Linked DNA regions of Drosophila melanogaster. The protein of the gene in region 4 interacts with the protein of the main gene of each other region in a pairwise test. Each region holds a gene or a part of one and is shown on either strand. Other genes may lie near its edges. The genes, in order: heca, rtp, CG42565 and CG14926.

Region 1 (5,220 bases), on a different chromosome or scaffold from region 4:
AAGAGAGGGCAAGCTGCCGCGCGAAAGAGATGGACAGAGGGTGAGGGGTTGGGATTCTTAAAACCTGAAGATCGCGTTCAAAACAACAACATTAAAAAAAAAAAAAACACAAAAAGCGATCTAATTCCTCTTCGTGTTGTTCTCCTATTCGCATTTTTTTTTTTTTTTGATCGCAATGAAATAAATAATAGTATTCGCTGCTCTGGGAAACGGAAATATTAAAAGTAGGCACAAAATAAATAAGAACAAGAACACATCTGGGAAACATACCATACGATAAATGTCCGCTGCTATATGGCAGCATATAAATTTCAATAATTTTTCATTGCCTATGATTTATGAGTAAAAAGAATGCCAATGAAGAGTGAAGAACTACAGCAGAATAAAAGAAAGAAAGCCTTGACCCACCGAAAGCAACAAAACAAAAGATTATAATATTTTATTCATTCCCTCTGAGTTGATGCAAATCGTCGACTTCCTTAAGGGGAAAATATTCGCAAATTTCTCGAATAAACCAGCGCATTTTATTTAATATTTCTGCAAATATTGTCTGTATTTCGCAGCTGTTCAGTCGTCAAGGTTATATAATCTATGGAACCGGCAAACGAACGAAAAACGGGCAAACAAACGCCTCAATTGTTGATAACACTGTGCAACACGATAAAGGAACGAGAGTATCAATCTGGTATCTATTTGGCATGTTTGTTGATAACACCTGAAGCCACTGGAAGTTTTATCAAAGGAAAAGCTAAACAAAACTTATAACAACTGCAGTAAATAAATTCGAAATATTAAGGCCCCCCTTGTCGTTCAGTGTAATTGATAAAAGTTTTGTGAATAAATATTGAAACGCTTATGTACCCCAACCACATGCTGGGGAATTTCGCCACACAAATTTCGCTTTGTTAAACAAGTTAACCAAGTATTTAAGATGAAATTCTAGACAATAAGACTATAGCTCCTTATAATCTATATGGTTATCATGATGATATCTTGTACTTACCGCACTCGATCGGAATAGAGTTCGACCTCCTTGTTCTTCTGCTGCTGCACAAGTTGCTGCTGCTCGTAGCTGGCCAATGGCTTGAAGTTGCTGATATTGGCCAAAGCAGGCAGGTTATTCTGCTGCTGCTGTTGTTGTTGCAGCTGCTGCTGCTGCTGCTGCTGGGGAGCAATCAGCAGATTCTTGGACAAGCCCAATCCATTTTGCAAAAGGTTGCTGCCGAAAGCTGGACCCAGAGGCTGGATCAGCAGCGACTGCTGCTGTTGCTGCTGCTGCTGTGGCAGCAATTGCTGCACCGGCGACACGGATATCTCGCCACTGGACTGGGAGTCCGAGGGCGAGGTGGATCCACTGCCAGCTCCACTGGAGGATAGGCTGCCAGCCCTGGCGCGCAGGTCCAGGCCGAGGACATTGTTCGTATTGAGGATGTTGCTGAAAGTGGCCAGCGCACTGGTCTGCAGAACGCCGGAGGAGCCGTTGTTGCCACTGCTGCCATTGCTGGCGGTGTTGCCGTTGTTGTGGGGCAAACCCGACCCTATGACGCCCACATTGGGATTGGGCGTGAGTCCGGCGTAGCTGTTGCCGTTGTTGTTGCTCAAGGGGGTTTTGGTGTTGCCATTGACACCAGCACCACCACCACCGCCGCCGCCGTTGTTGTTGTTGTTGTTGCGGTTCCTCTTCTTCTTGGCCTTCTTCTTGTCGTCGTCCTCGCTGAGGCTGCCATTGGCCAGAGTGGGCCGGTTGCCAGACCCGTTGAGGTATATGACGCCCTGGCTGCTCGGCGGCACCCAGTCGAGGTCCTTGCGCAATTGTCCCCTGCCGCACTTGCAGCTGCAGGCCTTCTGGACCAGCTCGTAGCCCTTCTTGGTCCACAGGTGCTGCAGACGCTGCCGCTCCGACCAGGATCGAGCACGACCGTTGGCCTTCAGTGCCTGCAGCACGCTCGCCTCCCACCACTCGAAGCACTCGCGATGCATGTACTGGCCTGCGCTGCAGTTCTCGTTGTTGCACAGCACACGGATGCAGTCCGCCAGGGAGAGCTCGTTCAGGTGTATCAGGGTGTCCAGTTTGCGACAGTCTCCGCTGGGCAGGCAGCAGTGGACCATGCCCCCGCCGCCAACGCCGCCAACGCCACCGGTTCCCTGCATGGGCGCCATTAGGACGCCTGAAGAATTCACGTTCTCCGCGTAGAACTGCAGCAGTTGATGCTGCTGCGTCTGGTGCTGCTGCTGCAACTGTTGCTGGTGCTGCTGCTGGGTGCTGTTGCCGCTGCTGCTGATGTTGCTGTTGCGACGCGGAGCCATAAATTTGTGTTTTTTCCTCTTAATATGCACTCGTTGCGGCGAAAAACTTGGTTGGTTGGCTGGGTTGGCTGTCCTCGAGAATCCTCAATCTCTATTTCGAATCAGCATTTTGCCAACGATTATGAATTTCAAAATATTGCTTGTTGATTTTTTCGCGATTTTATGGTGCGATTTGCGGTCTATATAAATGCTGCTGGCATATATTTATTTATTTTTGAACCGATTCCAGAATATATTTCAACTGATGGTTTTGGCAGATCCAGTGAGTTTTCGTGAATTTTAGTGGGTTTTTGTAAATTTTTAGAAATTTTGCAGACAAAAGTCTGATTTTATACGGAATTTAATTTTTTTGTGTATAGTAAATGCTTGTTATTTTAGCGATTTAGTCTGTTTAGGTTTTAACTTTTCGGTTGCCTTTTTCAATTGTTTTCAGTTGGATTTTCCGAGTGGGTTTCTACCGAGATTGGTATTATTTTTAACTTGATGGGTAATTGCTTTCACTTATTGCTTTAAAAATTGTACACCTCCTTGCTGTGTGTATCAAAAATACTTCGAAAAATTCCCGTCAATGCAGTCTGTTGTGTTTTGCGTAATTTTCTGTTTTGTTGTTGTACCTGAGCTGAGTTTATTGTTGTTGTAGAACTTTAAGTATCAAAAATTGTTTTTTTTTTATTGTTTATCTTCGCTTCGTCCCTATCTCCCTCTCACACGATCGTTCGCTCTCATTCACACACGCGGCGCCATGTTCGGCAATTTTTCACATTTTGCTTCGCTTTCTGCGTTTATTTCTTTGCGCCTCTTATTTTTTTGCCGGCAAACAAAAAGGATTAGAGGATAGTGTAAATTTCCGATTGGTTTTTAGTCGCAGGACAATTGTAAACTGGAGTGTTCCTCTTCGATTTATTCGGTTTTGCTAGTTCTCCTGTTTTCCGTTTTTTCCCACCACGAGCGGCGCACGCAGAGAGAAGCCAAAAAACACAACCAACCAGATCGAAAGCGAAATTCAAACTGTTTTTGGTCTGTGCTTGCTCGCCGCGTTCGAACATCGCGCGTCGAACATCGCTGCCGGCGTCGCTGCTTGGCATTGGCAGCGAAGTTGGAGTTTTCCTCCACTCCGATTTTCCGCACTTCTTCATTCCGTTTTTCGGGGTTGGTGGGTGGTGGTTGGCTGGTTTTCACTTTCCACCACCGCCGCCAACCGCTCGCTTTTCATTCGGTGGAAAACTGAACAGATTTTTGGCGCTAAAATGAGAAATGGTGGGGGAAAATTGCGGAAGGGGCTACAAAAAAAGTGTCTAATTCACTAGAATTTTCCACTGTAGGCCAGAATTTGGTACATTTTCCCACTTTACAACGGAACTTTTGATAGCAGTTACATACTTGATTAGATTAAATGTCTTAAAAATATATGTAGGAGTTTAGACTTTTGTTAATAAGCTTCATTTCCATAGAAAATGTTTCTATCAAGCCGTATTTTCTTTAAACTAATAAGAATAATAATAACATGTTTCTAACTTTATAGCCAAAAAGGAATATATATTTCTCCCTATGTTTTGGTTCCAAAATTAAATGAATTCGATTATTATTAAATAATCTAAATTTAATTATTTATTAGAATTTTTAGATTTTACATCCATTTCATTTACAATTAGGAGCTCTCGATGATTCGCCAAAATTCACTTTCGTTGCGGCTCGAAGCTGGTTCGAATCAAGTTCGAAGCCGGTCGTTTCCCCTCCAACATGTTCGACTGCAGTTGCCATGCGAACGTCGAGCGCGTTGGCTCTGTTCCACATGCATGGAGCGTGCATATGTGTTTGTGCCAGAAACCGGCAAAGTAAACAACATGAAAACAGGGTTGCCGAGTCGCTGGAACTCGAACTTGCAGCGCACTTTTGCTTTCCGTGGCTAATCTTTTAATTCCAGTGGAAGTGGAAATGCCGTTCGATGTCTCCATCTCCCTCTGTCGGAACTGCCGTTCTCTGTCGCACGCTTCGATTGCTGTTATATATTTACATACAAACGTATCTATATAATCCCCTATATATTCGCAAGCACATTTGCACAAAAATACAAATACAATGAATGCATGCGAGTGCTGGCAATAAAAGTGGCAGAGACAAAAAGGAAGAGAATTAAAACATTGAACGAAAAAGAGTTGAAGATACCCTACCTTGAATTAAAACAACCAATTAAAACTTGAATACGCAGACCTATTACTGCTTTCAATTGAAACAAGTATGTACATATGTATGAATAATTGTAATAGTTAAATTGTTGATATTAGTCCTAAGATTACGAATATCGCAGGTAACTTTTGTATTATGACTACTTATTTGTGTTTTGACTGTAGGGTATTAAAGTTGCCACCAAAACCCAAATAAGCTTTCAAACGTAGAGCCTTTTTATTGTATCCTCGCCTTTGTGTATATATGTACATACACACATATAAAAATTCCCGCTGTGTTGCAAAAAAAAAAAGTATGCGAAAACGAATAAGAAGAAGCGGTAGAAATGGCAAAAAACAGGCACGTGTAGAACGAAAAGTGGTAAAGGGAAGGGATCTCGCAACCAGATGGGGTTTTCTTATAGGACTCAGGATCTCAGGATCCGGGGTTCTATTCTTTTGGTAACTGCGGTGCAAAGTCAAGGTCCAATTCCACTTATTTTCGAGTCAAACTGCGCAGTTTCCATTTTTTTCTCTCGATTTTGACCTGCCGGGTAGAAGAAGAGCGAGCAGGAGGGAGAGAACCAGAGGGTTCTGATATAATAATTAAGTCAGTCAGGTAGGCAGATCGGCAGCCATTGCGTAATAGGATCGTACGTACGAGTATATTTAGGTATGCATGTATGTAATTATGTATGTATAGGTTGTTTGTTGTTCTAGCTAAAGGATCGTCGGTGGAGAGGGTAAA
Region 2 (3,644 bases), on a different chromosome or scaffold from region 4:
GGAAGGATGAGCACGAAATCACCTTTAAGTGCCGCAACCAGCCGGTGGTCCAGGCCCGACACACGCGATCCGTGGAGTGGGCCGAGAAGAAGACGCACAAGAAGCACAGCCATCGCTTTGACAAGGTGGACCACCTCTTCTACAAGTTCCAGGTGCGATTTGGCCGTCGCTACGTAAGCACCGCCGAGCGCCAGATGCGCCTGCGCATTTTCCGTCAGAACCTGAAGACTATCGAGGAGCTAAACGCCAACGAGATGGGCAGCGCCAAGTACGGCATCACGGAGTTTGCTGATATGACCAGCTCGGAATACAAGGAACGCACGGGACTCTGGCAGCGTGATGAGGCAAAGGCCACTGGCGGATCGGCGGCTGTCGTACCGGCTTACCATGGTGAACTGCCGAAGGAGTTTGACTGGAGGCAGAAGGATGCTGTCACCCAGGTGAAGAATCAGGGATCCTGCGGTTCATGCTGGGCCTTCAGTGTGACCGGCAACATCGAAGGCCTGTACGCAGTGAAAACGGGCGAATTGAAAGAGTTCTCCGAACAGGAGCTGCTGGACTGTGATACCACGGATAGTGCCTGCAACGGCGGCCTCATGGACAATGCTTACAAGTAAGTTACGAGGGAATGAACATTACGATGTAGATACTTATGTAATAATTCCTCCGCAGGGCCATTAAGGATATTGGCGGCCTAGAGTACGAGGCTGAGTACCCATACAAGGCCAAAAAGAATCAGTGCCACTTCAACAGGACTTTGTCCCACGTTCAGGTTGCCGGCTTCGTGGATCTGCCGAAGGGAAATGAGACCGCCATGCAGGAGTGGCTTCTCGCCAATGGTCCCATTTCGATCGGTAAGTCGATGCAGAAAATTAACCCCAAAGCCCACTTAACCAGATCATTTCTCTAGGCATCAATGCGAATGCTATGCAGTTCTATCGCGGCGGAGTTTCCCATCCGTGGAAGGCCCTGTGCTCCAAGAAAAACCTCGACCACGGTGTTCTAGTTGTGGGGTATGGCGTCTCCGACTATCCCAATTTCCACAAGACCTTGCCCTACTGGATTGTGAAGAACTCGTGGGGTCCGCGCTGGGGAGAGCAGGGCTATTATCGCGTTTATCGTGGTGACAACACTTGCGGCGTCAGCGAAATGGCCACTTCGGCTGTGCTGGCCTAGACTTGCTTTGAGTCCAATTATATACAAGCATACGACTATATCTAGGTTAATAATTTAGCCAGTAACTTTGTGTACAATTAATTCTGTTTCCATGTTCTTCAACCGTCACGATAAGGAGTCGTTGAGTTTCAAAGCTTCGCCTATATAGTATAATCATTTCAGACATCTGTAATCTCACGAAAAAGTCTGCATCCACATATTCCGCTTTAATTGAAAATAACAATAAATTGTACAAGAATTAAAACCTGGTTGGGTTTATTATTGAATCCATGACAGCTCTGGCCGCAGCAACAGTTGGTCAAGATTGATGGTTGGTTGGATCAAGAAAAATGTTGAATTTATGTGAGATGTATTCAAATTATTCGATTAAAATGGTTTGATTAAATATGGGTGCCAGAGTATTATTGGCTGTTAAGAAATATTTATAACTGCTTCAATTACTGGAACATTTGACCCAGTGATTTTGATGATTGATTTTCAAACACTTTGTCAGTGTGTAGAAGTGCAATATGTTAATTAGATTTAGACCAGGGCCGTCGCACCGTGGGAAGCCATAGAAAATGAGTGTTTCTGGTGCAGAACCAGCCAGCTCAGTAGCAGCTTGAAGCGCATCGCGGGCGGTAGCGGAGCAATGGCCATGGACGACTACGATGATGACAGTAAGTGAACACAGACAAAAGGATGCAGATACAAAATTGCGTAAAAATCATTACCCAGTGAGCAGCGTGGGCGTGACCACGGCCCGAATCGAGAACCAGCACCAACAGCACCCCCACCAGCAGGGTCAGCATGGACACCACCAACAGGGCCAGGGTCAAAGCCAGTACAGCGCAGGGGCGGTCAAAGTGGGCGGATGGCGATACGAGGACGCCAGTCGCTACATCGGCGAGTGGAACCAGCGTGGCCAAAAGCACGGCATCGGGCATCTGCAGTTCGCCGATGGCACCCGCTACGATGGGCAGTTCCAGGAGGGTCTTAGTCAAGGAGTGGGCTGCCTCTGGTTCGCGGATGGAGCAAAGTCAGTTTCAATAATATTAGTGATGTAAACCTAAACGAAATATTGTAGCACTTGAAAACTATTCTTGTAGCCACTACTCGGGGAGTAAGAGGAAATGCTAGTATATATATTCTTGATCAGAAATGGTTTAGCTATAATTTACCTAGGGTTTGCATCCAGTGAAGAAAATTGTATATGATGATTCATTTTGCACATTTTTAAGACAGATACGAAGGCGAGTTTCATCAGGGCTGGTTTCATGGTAATGGGATCTTCTGGAGAGCCGATGGAATGAAGTACGAGGGCGAGTTTCGAGGCGGCAAGATCTGGGGCCTGGGATTGCTGACGTTCCAGGACTTCACGCACGGCTTTCCCAGAAACGAGGGATTCTTTCAAGACTGCCGCTTTATGAGACGACGTCGATGTCCCGAGGTGGTGCAGCGTGCACAAAAGTGCGCTCTTATGGCCCGTTCCCAGTGCGAACACCCATACTGAACAGACACTTCAGATTGGTTACCAGTTGGTATTGATAAACACGTACAGTTTAAAAATACAAATTTTAGTAACCGACTGTAAGAGTCTCAAGTCATAAAACAGAAAAAGGTGCCTTTAAGAAAAGAAATAAGCATTTCTTTCTTAACATCTTAAACTTTAATACATTTGCGCATAAACGTTCGTAAATGTATCTAAGTAATATAAAATGCATACAATTTCGCGTTTACTTTATAATTTTGCTTTTTCCAAATTCTTTATCAAAAATTCTTCAACGCACCCTAATAAAAACAACAAGAAAATTATGAAGAATTTGTGCGTGTGCTTATTGGATTATAATATTAACAAGAACGGAGTTGTTTCTCTGCTAATTCGGACTAGGCGCACCGACCAGGTACCACGCATTCCTGGCCTTCACCGCTGTGTTCCGCACCAGACGCTTGGGATCATCCAAGGCGGCGGCCAGGGCCAGAGTAACATCGACTTTGTGGGGCAACAGGACGAAGGTAGGATACTTTGTCACATCGTAGAGCAGCTGCAGCGCCGCAATTCGCACTTGCTATAAGAAAGAAAATGAGTTTAAGTTTTGTGTTCGACATTTTCCTTTACAAGTTAAGAAACCTCCTCAATTAACTATCAAATCTTTATAATAATATGTGCATGTTTAACTTACCATGGTATGCTGAGCCTTGTATTTCGACAGCTCCAGACAGCTGGGTATGAGGTGGGCCAAATGCCCTTGGAAATACGTGTCCTGCTGCGCCACAAACTTTTCACAGATGCCCAATGCAATGCACAGCGACTGCGCCTCGTTGTGCTCCTCCAAGCTCTTGAAAAGCAGCGGACCGAGCTGCTCAATGTTTAGCTTAATAACCGCCTGTGGCGTGGCTTTCAGTACGTAGACAAAAGCCTTCAAGTGGTGCACACAGTAGTTGGCAAGTTTGCTGCCCATTTTTCCCATGATAGTGTGGAAAAGCTT
Region 3 (6,124 bases), on a different chromosome or scaffold from region 4:
AAACATTTTGGCGAATCCCGAGGCAGTGAAATTCGAAAAAGAGATCTATCTGACCAAAGAGATCTAATTGAAGAGAAACCACTGAGAGAATCATGCAGCAATCAACAATTTTTTGGCACTCGGCTCTTCAGTCTCAGCAGCGCTCATCACTCGCCGCAAGGTCAACAAAAAGTGCTTAAAAACTAAACAAAACAAACAATTATAAGCGGAGCACCCACTCCGTTTGCCCCAACCCACGACCCCCATCCCTTCATCTCACTGTCTTTTCCATGCCCCCAAGAGGTAACCACACTTGCCGCAGATGACCTTGCAATCGTTGGTGGAGCGCCTCGGGCAGCAGGGATAGATGGGCAGCAGGGCAAAGCAGCTGGAAATGGATAAGGAAATAATCTGAATTAGAAATATAAATACTTCCGATCTTTGTTATTATCCTAATAGCCCTATACTACGATTAAATAATCTTATTTATATTCCATCCTAAGAATTTACTTTAAAGAAATGTCCTGGCCTTGCACTCACCACATGGTAAGGAGTCGCTCCAGGCGGACTCCCTGCTCGTGCAATCGCTCGTGGCACTCCGGACAGTACATCTGGCGGAGGCAACTAATGTTGGTGGCAGCGGGCGGCGGAGGTGATACCTTCTCGGCCAGTTGGCCTGTGGAGTTGCTCTTCCGGCAGAAGTAGGTATCCGGCTCGGAGTCCTCGGCATAGCCGTAGGGATAGCCTCTGTGTGGGGGCGTGGCCAGGAGCAGCTGGTCCAAGGCCTGAGCCGACTTCTGCTTGACCTGGCCGCAGTTGGGGTTCAGGTTAATCTCCACCAGATCCGCTGCGAACTCCTCGTCGTCGGGAGCTTGAAGGTGGAACTTTAGCTGACGGCTCATGTTGTTGAACTGACTCGACTCGGGTTTTCTATTTGCCTATAAATTGGGTTATTTTACAATTGAAACATAAGAAACATAAGTCAAACAGCTATCGCTTGGCGAGGGGGATTTATTATTATATTTTTTGGGCTGAGGGGGGAGTTAGACAAACCAGTTGTTCATCTGTTTGTCAAGCCCCCGTATTTGCCTAACACTATTTTCATGGTTGCGATGTTAACGGCTGCACTTGAACGTAGATCCCATGAGGAAAGCTTCCACAAAGCTGCCGGCGAGTGGGTGGTAAATGGAGCTTTTTCTATAAAAAATATACACAGTTATCTTAACCCATTGAAGATCGAAGTCTGTTTTTATTTTGACTTGAATAATTAAGACATTTCATAAGGTTTTTCAGGAAATAGTATCAAGCACGGAAAATATATATATTATTTTTAATCACAAATTAAGCAAGTTACACATTAATATCCAATATCCAATAAATAATTAAAAAAAATAAAGGCTTCACAAATGGAATGATGATGCTTCAACTGGCAAAGAATCATATCTACATATGTACATATATATAAACCGGTCACGCATTTGGTAAATTACAAAAATATTATATTATGGCGAGAGCACTCGAGTCGACAACCTGTGTTTGTTTATACTCTCTCCTCGCAAAATACACGTACTAAATGTTACATATGTATATTTTGGCCTTATTCATTGCCTTTATATGCAATAAAGGTGTTATCAAACAAGTGACTCATCTGTCGCCTATTCGGAGGAGAAGCATCGCTGTAGCTCACTAAATCAAGTGCACAATAAAAGAGGTATCCGATTATTAGTTCGACAGAAACCCCACTTGTATGGTAGCTATCACCTCTCGACGATAAGATAGTAGCCAATCGTTGAGGTATTGCGGGAGCCACAGTTTAAGTTCGTTCCTCAGTGCAACGCCAGCCAGCAAAGCGATCGGTTCAGTTCGGCCGGAAATCCAGAGTCTGCATCAAGAAGAAACATAATCCGAAACTATGGACAGCAAGCAGCCTCCACCGTACAGTGAACAGTCCGGATACACTCCCGCACAAACCTATCAGCCCGGTGGCCCCACCCAGCCACCACTGTACCCACCGATGCCGCAGCCACCGCAGTCCTCAACGGTGATCATCCAGACCACCACAACCTCCAACCTGGTGCCCATCGGCAGTGGACCCACCCGCATCCGCTGTCCCTCCTGTCACGCCGAAGTACTGACCACCGTGAAGTCCACTCCTTCCGGCAGGACGCACTGCTGGGCCCTCATCCTGTGCCTGTTCATGTGAGTCTTATAGTCACTAGTCATCTGATCTGAAGTCACTGCTTGCCACCATATGTATGTATGTATGTTGATTGGTCTCAGGAGCTTTGGGCCAACGAAAGTATCTTAGGGGGGACTTAGTGCTTCATTAATCCAGTCAAATGACCTTTTTATAAAATTGCGCAAAATGGAGTAAACCATTTTTAAAAGCAATACAAATCGGATATGTTGCCTATTAAATTCAGTAATATACATAGATGATATGATATCCTATAGATGATATCCTAACAATCTAGATATGTTTTCGTATCGCCCAAGCAGAAATGTTCTATAACCATTTTATTGCCAACTCGTTACAATAGCTCGGTTAAATGTTAAAAAGCTACGCCCATGAACCACTTGCGGCCCCTTATCGCTTGGAAAAAACAATAGGTTTCTACAGGTATTGCGACTGTGTGTACTGGTAATATGTGAAAACATTGTTATCTCAACTGGAACTGGAGTTGAGTCAGATAACGAATCCGAGTGGAAAGACGGGGTGAAAGCAAGCAAACTGACTGATTACGGCCTGTAGACGTCGTAAAGGCCAATTCGGAATTAGTGCTCTGACTAATAGTTTAATTCCCCGAACTTATCTAATCGATTCGTTTTCCACTCTATCCACACAGCTGCTGGCCGTGCGTATGCCTACCTTACTGCATGGACTCCTGCCAGAATGCCAACCACTACTGCCCCAACTGCAGCGCCTACATCGGCACCTACGAGAACTAACTAACTAACGCCTATTTATGCATACAAACGTATATACCTATAGAGAACCCTAAGCACTAGCGTCATAACCGAGAAAAATTGAACTGTAAATACACATGTACGAACGCCACACATTAAACTCATGAGACTCACACAGGAAACAGAAATGCGACAAGATATCTTGGGACAAGGCACTCTTTCCGCTAAATGGATTATGAAGTAATTTAATATTTTCAGAAATGTCTATGATAATGTTGACATTATTTAGTATTTTCCACTACATTTTGTACTGGTACTAAACAATTTCGATCGATCATTACGAGAAACCAACGCCAACATTTTAATGACCATTTTAAAACAATCTTTTTACTTTTTACTATCGCTTAAAAACCGTAATCAGTAAAATGGATCATAAATATCATAAATAGCTAAGACTATATCAATTGTTGTCTAGGAAACATAAACCCTTCTGGCACCTACTCAAGCCAACAACTGGAAATGGCCAAATGGCACAGAGCTACTGGAACCGAATGTCAATCGATTAGGTACTGCACTGGCCGACTCCTCTTGTACCCCTCCATATCGTCATAGTCATAGTAGGTTTCACCTAAAAAGTACTTGTCGATTAGTCAGAAAAGATAACGATTGCGATAGAGCAATGTTGTCATTAAATGGCGGGCTATTTCAGTGCATGCCCCGCCGCAAACATGAGCAGCACATGGATGGGCAGAGCTCCAGAACCGGCCGACACGGAAATGGTGACCGTAACCACGCAGCCAAACTATGGGGTGGTGGTGACCCAGATACCCGTCTACACCCTGAACGGAGTGGGGCCGGGCGCACATCCACTGGCTGTGGGCTGCAAGCCGATGAGGGTGAGGTGTCCGTCCTGCAGGGGCGAGGTCACCACCAGTCTGGCCACGTCCCCCACCCGCAAGACCCACATGTGCGCTCTGACCTTGTATATCTGCTGGTGAGTGGGGCGTCAGGATACCACCGGGCTTACTAACTTTGCTAACCTGATTCTCCAGCTGCTGGCCCTTCATCTGCCTTCCCTACTTCATCAACTACTGCAAGAGTGTCCAGCACTACTGTCCCAACTGTGGATGCCACATTGGGAGCTATAGCATTTGATCAAGTGCTGTGTCTCCGCACTGCCAAAAATGCCTTCCATGTCAAGACTTAATCAAGATTAGCCATATATGTATACAGATACATAAAATAATAACGTTTTAAATTTAAGTTCTTTTTGTTAATGACGGATGGTTTCTACTACTCTCACTGCACATATGAAGTAATCTTTTCTGGTCCATAATTTCCTCACCTAGTGTGCCAGTAGATAGATTTTATATTCGTATTAGGATAAATACCCAGAATATGAGGAAAGCGAATCAATTGAATACCGATACCGATAAGGCAGTTCTGAGTTTAATGAAACTGTCATCGATATACATATACGGAAGCTTTCAGTATTATATCAGTGCTCGTTCGCAGCTGTAAGCAACTGGTTGATATTTTTAGTGTGATTTGAAGAGTATAGAAAAGCATGCGTTGCTACAAGCGCGTAGACTCCCCGCCGCCCTACTCGGATCCATTCGCCACCGCTCCTCCAGCGGAGGACGTCATGCAGCAGAACCTGGCGTCGCCCGCACATCCCAATCCGGTGATACCCGTGATGGCCCAAACCATGCCGGTGTTGCAGCCCGTAAGCGTGATGCATCACCAGACGACAGTGCTGGTGGACAATACCCGCCAGGGAACGATCTGTCCCCACTGCAACGCTCGGATTCGCCTTCGCGTGGAGCACCATCCTACCGGATCAACTTACTGTATGGCGGCGTTGCTCTGCCTATTCCTGTAAGTAGATCGCATTTATGGTTGCAAGTATAGCAACAAAGGTTTGTACATACATAATGTGTATGTAAGCAAACGGAAAAAGAAATGTTTTTACTAGTCTGCTATATCTGTGGCCGCAATTGTTTTGCTTCTTCCTGGACAAGCTATGAGAAATTGCTGATCGTGCCTTATAAGCTATATACTCTATTTCCCATCTCTATCCACCAGATGCTGGCCCTGCGTCTGCGCCCCTTGCTGCTGCAACTGTTGCTACAAGACCTCCCAGTACTGTCCCAACTGCAACTCCTGCTTGGGTTCGTTTTGAAGACGCAGCGAAAACACTCGCCGATTTCATATCATTTCATTTTATATATATGTATATATATATACATAACCAACTATACATACATATATGTATGTATGTTCATATCTCCTTATGTATCGACGGCGTCAATGTGGTGTCTTCATCACTTAACATACATAAAAATATGTTTGCTTAGTGAGCAAAATAAGCTGACAGCGAAAAAATAAACAAATAGATTTTGAAGCGAATGGAATTTTCTTTAATTTCTGTTTCTGGGTATCTGGCTACATTGTTGCTGCAGACAACTAGATTTGCAGAAAAAATAATGTGAAACTTAATTGTTCATACGTTTTTTTTTTTTGTTTTTGTGTACTTTTTGGCGGTCTTTTCCCGAAACTTTTTCGTAGCACAACTCTTTTGTGTCCAGCAATAAATGTTGATATGAAACTGTTTTGAACCGGTAAAATGTTGCTGGGACGAACCGGCATGTTGGCACAGTTTAAATTGATGCTAAGATGCTTCAAGATTACTGTTCATGCTATTAAATGAAATCACTGAAGTTCTTTGCATTATAATTGAATATTTAGTAAAATATTTGAATTTCTGCTAAATGTTTAGTTCTTAAGAAATGGAATAAAAGGATTTTAATTTAACTCAGCCTAGGGATACGCTGTAATCAATTTTAAGGATGTATATAAATATCACTTCCCAGTTAGGCAACATAATGTTGCTAACGGAAATACTTTTGGAAGTGTAGTGTCCCGCTTCGCGCCCTAAACTTCTGACCGCACAACACTTTCGCAGCCCAAACAGTGCGCATTAACTTTTTGTCTCTCTGTGAAATCGGAATTCTACTTTATTTATTTTGACAACGTACCCACCCATACAGATTGTAAGTATGACGGGAGAGATATATTATGCAAGCCTAGGATTGGGTCAAACATGAGCAACGGACTATTATAGTCAGGTCTAATTGGGTAATATCTGGTTGTTTAGATGTTTACCGCTGCTTTGCCGCTCCCCAAAAAATTTACTTTTGCTTGGGGGAGAACTCAGCAAAGACATACAGGACGACAG
Region 4 (3,572 bases):
GGAAAATCGAGGAAAAAAAATGCAACGGAATGTTCGATGAAAAATGCGTTCGGTTTACCATTAATCCGCTGCCCTGATCCAGGGCGACAGATCATTACACACGCGCGGGACTTCCGAAACGGGAGGAGTTCCTCATTTGGGGACATGCGACAGGCGAGTGGCGATGTTTAGGGGCCCCCCGAAATCGTATGTATATGTAAATTTATTAATAAAAACTCCCAAAAAAAAAAAACGGATGCACATTGGCCCCTAAAAATGGGAGGGTGGGTGTGCACTGCTGCAGTTGTTGCCTGTCCGTAATTTATAGACCCGCTGCCGAATGACATGCTAACTAATAGTATCATCATAATTTATACATACAAATACATTGCATTTGTTATTTATGCCCTTGCGCCACCCCTCGCAACTAAAGCCACCCCCCACCCCATCCCTTACGTGATTTCCATACACAGATCCCCGATGACAGAGGTCACAGCACCCAAAAGGGCAGAAGGTTAGCCGGCGTTAATGGCACCGTTTGACCCTCGGCCATATTTGAATATCGATTACAATTAAACGGTCACAACTATAGATAACGTACACGTGATCGCAGATTGATAAATGTGCCAAATATTTATTATGTGATCAATTTATTATTCTTAAACGGGAAATTTCGAGTTACTTGCTTTGTGAATATACATTTCATGGGAAGCCTATTATATTTAATTTTCAAGTGCCAAATGAGATTCGTAAAGTTAGTTAGGAACTAATGGGCTCTTCTAGAACCAACTACCACGGTGGGATTGCGAAGGGTTCGGATCATTGAGACCTACAAAAAAACGATTTTAATGCGATTCTTCATTAGGTAAGTAAAATGCCTTACCATTCGAAGAGTAGCCTCCAGCTAACCTTTGACCACCACGCATGGAACCAACTCGCATTCCAGCGCCAAGGCCATTGCTCATGCCCATGCCGGAACCCATGCCTCCATCGAATCCCATAGACTCGGGCATGGAATGGCCCATTCTGTTACCCATTTCAAGACCAGGCTCTGAGCCCATGCCCTGTACCGAAGCCGGGCTAATAGAACCCAAAACAGTTTTAGATCAGCCTTAAGATCCATAAAAAAAAACTTACCCAACTTGAGAATGACCGTAACTGGGCTTAAAATTCGTGTACATGTTCATCATATTTTGGTTGTAGGAGGCGAATGGATCACCTGGAGATGCGTTATTCTGGTGCGATCCCATTCCACTGGATCCATGCAAATAGTTTTGGGTGTTCGCTTGACTTGAGTGCAGCCACTGACGACCACCGCCTCCAGGAGGAGTACTACCCCTTCCCATCTGAAACCATTCCATGGTTTAGACCCGGATACCGAAGTACGTAGGCAGACTCACCTGTGAGTAGTTGGGATTTCCCTGACCACCATGGCTGTACTCCCAATTGAATTCCGGACCGTTTTCCATCGTTAAAAAATTTAAAAATTTCAAAAAAATTTCAAATGGTTTTTGAAAAAATTTTGTTGGCCGATCTGTTACCTTACTGAATGCCGGACTAAAAATGAGGATTTCTAATTCGAGCCAACTGAAGTACACATTAATGTGTTTTCCATGCTTACTTGATTTGAAAACTTCTAACTTGTTTTAGTCATGTACAATCTATACGTTTATAATCTTCTATAACAGGAAAACAAACAAAATAAATCATTTCGTTGTCGCATCATGAATATCATTAGCAAAAACCAGTCTGTGTTCTATACTCGCTCTTAACGGAATATTTGAGATCATGCTGAGATTTTGAAATGTTATCTCTGATCTTCTCATATAATCTTAGACATAATAAAATTCAAATTTTGTGCAAACACAGTCATAATAAACATTTTTAATCATCATCTCGAGATTATTAGCCTATTAATGGCAGTTAAGAACAGCCATTCAAACTTATTGAATTAATCATTTCAGTGTCTGGGTGGCTGATTTATGGAATTAATGTCCAGATGCTGGTGATAAATAAATAAATGTTTAAGCAAATGTAGCGCAATAAATACTGATTATTGTTTTATTCTAAAAATGTAATATATTCAGACGGTGTGCTTGGTGAAAGTTGTAAGAAATATAAACCAGTTGGATAGGAAACTACTAAATAAATTTTGTCCGAAAAGGACTTTAGCACTACAAACTAAAACCCATGTTGGGCCACACTTCGGTAGATAAGAAACCTTGTTATCCTTAGCGACTTCCACCTGTACACACCGCATGCCGCACAGCTGTATCTTTTTCCCTGCCTCTGACAAACCAGTTTCCTATCGATGCAAGTTTTATTTATGTTTCTTGCCGATCTGCAGAACAAAGGCCAAAGACTGACCTACAAAGGAGCAGCAGACAATGGCAGATGACCTCATAAATTGCATCGTTATGAGGTTCATAAATAAATTATTGCTTCATATTCATAATGCACTTGAGGCCAAGTGTCGGCATGTCCTTGGACCAGCCAGCAATGGGATCTACCTGTCGTCCCACAAAATGTATCTCCCGAGCCCTAAGATTTATGGCTGGAATGGCAAGAGATGAGGGAACGTTAGCTCTGCTTTTTTAGCAGCAATTTAAAATGCATAAAATATTTGATGGTCCCTTTAACTCAAAACAAGGCATCAGGAAAGGAAACGAGAAGTGCCCTCCTTTGATCGTCATCTCCCTGATGGCTAATCCCATTTTATGGCATTCGTGCGGTCTTGGGGCCGTAAAATTGTTTTGTCACCTGTTGAAAACATTTTTTATTTTTAATTGAAAAAATCTGTTTCGGGAATGCCACGAGCTCCAGAGCACACAGAAATTTCATAAATTTCTTGGCGACCCTCGTCCGGGGGATAAATATTTTTCTTACTCTGGTTTGTCTTTCTATTTTCTCCACCAACATTTTGTCTAATTTTAAACGTATTTAAACGTTGGAAAATATGAATTTCCACCGCTTAAGGTCCATCCTAATTGCTGCCAATTAACACCTTCAATAAGCCCAAATACCATGGGCCCATTTGTCAGGGCCACGGGGGCGTTCAAATGCCTTGCCTTGTGACCCCGGCAAAACATTTTGATTTATCAACTCTTTTTACATTCCCAACACGAGTGCATCGATCAGAGGCGGAGGACACGAAAATAGCTGCATTGAAACTCCGGAGTCATCGGAGTCATCTGCATTAAGATCCGACAAAGACAACACTCGAATCGATTTAACTCTTTGACCCCGCCCACTCGTCGACCCCGATAGATCCAGGTTTCTGACTCGTCCGACAGCCGACATATGCGAGGGTCTATTAAAAAAATTGTTTATGAAAACAAACATTTTCGAGGCAATTAATCATTGGCATCATCGGTGGCGCGTGGGGGAACTTTAGCCATATAGTACCCATCTTCCAATCTTCCATCGACCGTAACCCCTTCATATCGTGCTGCTTTTGCTGCCGTTGATGATCATAATAATGATGATGATCTCCATCTGCAGTAGCTGGCTGAGTGCCTCCAGTTTTCATTTGGAAATCGTTTTATGGTCCCATCTTGAGGAACTCATCGAGTTGAGGGGGAGTGTTAAACGTC

The links.
Region 1: the proteins of CG14926 (region 4) and heca interact in a two-hybrid assay, tested with the Drosophila melanogaster proteins (one large-scale study listed by BioGRID).
Region 2: the proteins of CG14926 (region 4) and rtp interact in a two-hybrid assay, tested with the Drosophila melanogaster proteins (one large-scale study listed by BioGRID).
Region 3: the proteins of CG14926 (region 4) and CG42565 interact in a two-hybrid assay, tested with the Drosophila melanogaster proteins (one large-scale study listed by BioGRID).

What each region holds. Positions count from the first base shown.
Region 1 is NT_033777.3:30,276,031-30,281,250, reverse strand, and holds the start of heca (headcase), read right to left. Parts: upstream 3,320-5,220; 5' UTR 2,308-3,319; coding exon 1,004-2,307; intron 1-1,003. UniProt on the Drosophila melanogaster protein: Required for imaginal cell differentiation, may be involved in hormonal responsiveness during metamorphosis. Involved in an inhibitory signaling mechanism to determine the number of cells that will form unicellular sprouts in the trachea.
Region 2 is NT_033777.3:5,235,423-5,239,066, reverse strand, and holds rtp (retinophilin), read left to right. Parts: upstream 1-1,751; 5' UTR 1,752-1,807; coding exon 1,808-1,835; intron 1,836-1,893; coding exon 1,894-2,194; intron 2,195-2,400; coding exon 2,401-2,668; 3' UTR 2,669-2,975; downstream 2,976-3,644. Other genes in the region: CtsF (cathepsin F), read left to right, coding at 1-613, 673-854, 911-1,176; Mms19, read right to left, coding at 3,033-3,224, 3,339-3,644. UniProt on the Drosophila melanogaster protein: Plays a role in promoting axonal degeneration following neuronal injury by toxic insult or trauma.
Region 3 is NT_033778.4:22,656,098-22,662,221, forward strand, and holds CG42565 (uncharacterized protein), read left to right. Parts: upstream 1-1,803; 5' UTR 1,804-1,891; coding exon of another isoform or gene 1,892-2,178; intron 2,179-2,825; coding exon of another isoform or gene 2,826-2,928; 5' UTR 2,929-3,614; coding exon of another isoform or gene 3,615-3,880; intron 3,881-3,938; coding exon of another isoform or gene 3,939-4,041; 5' UTR 4,042-4,453; coding exon 4,454-4,764; intron 4,765-4,971; coding exon 4,972-5,068; 3' UTR 5,069-5,292; downstream 5,293-6,124. Other genes in the region: CG43325 (uncharacterized protein), read right to left, coding at 256-367, 520-881; CG13510 (uncharacterized protein), read left to right, coding at 1,892-2,178, 2,826-2,928; CG13511 (uncharacterized protein), read left to right, coding at 3,615-3,880, 3,939-4,041.
Region 4 is NT_033779.5:11,341,721-11,345,292, forward strand, and holds CG14926 (uncharacterized protein), read right to left. Parts: upstream 1,599-3,572; 5' UTR 1,449-1,598; coding exon 1,380-1,448; intron 1,326-1,379; coding exon 1,117-1,325; intron 1,060-1,116; coding exon 863-1,059; intron 809-862; coding exon 759-808; 3' UTR 581-758; downstream 1-580.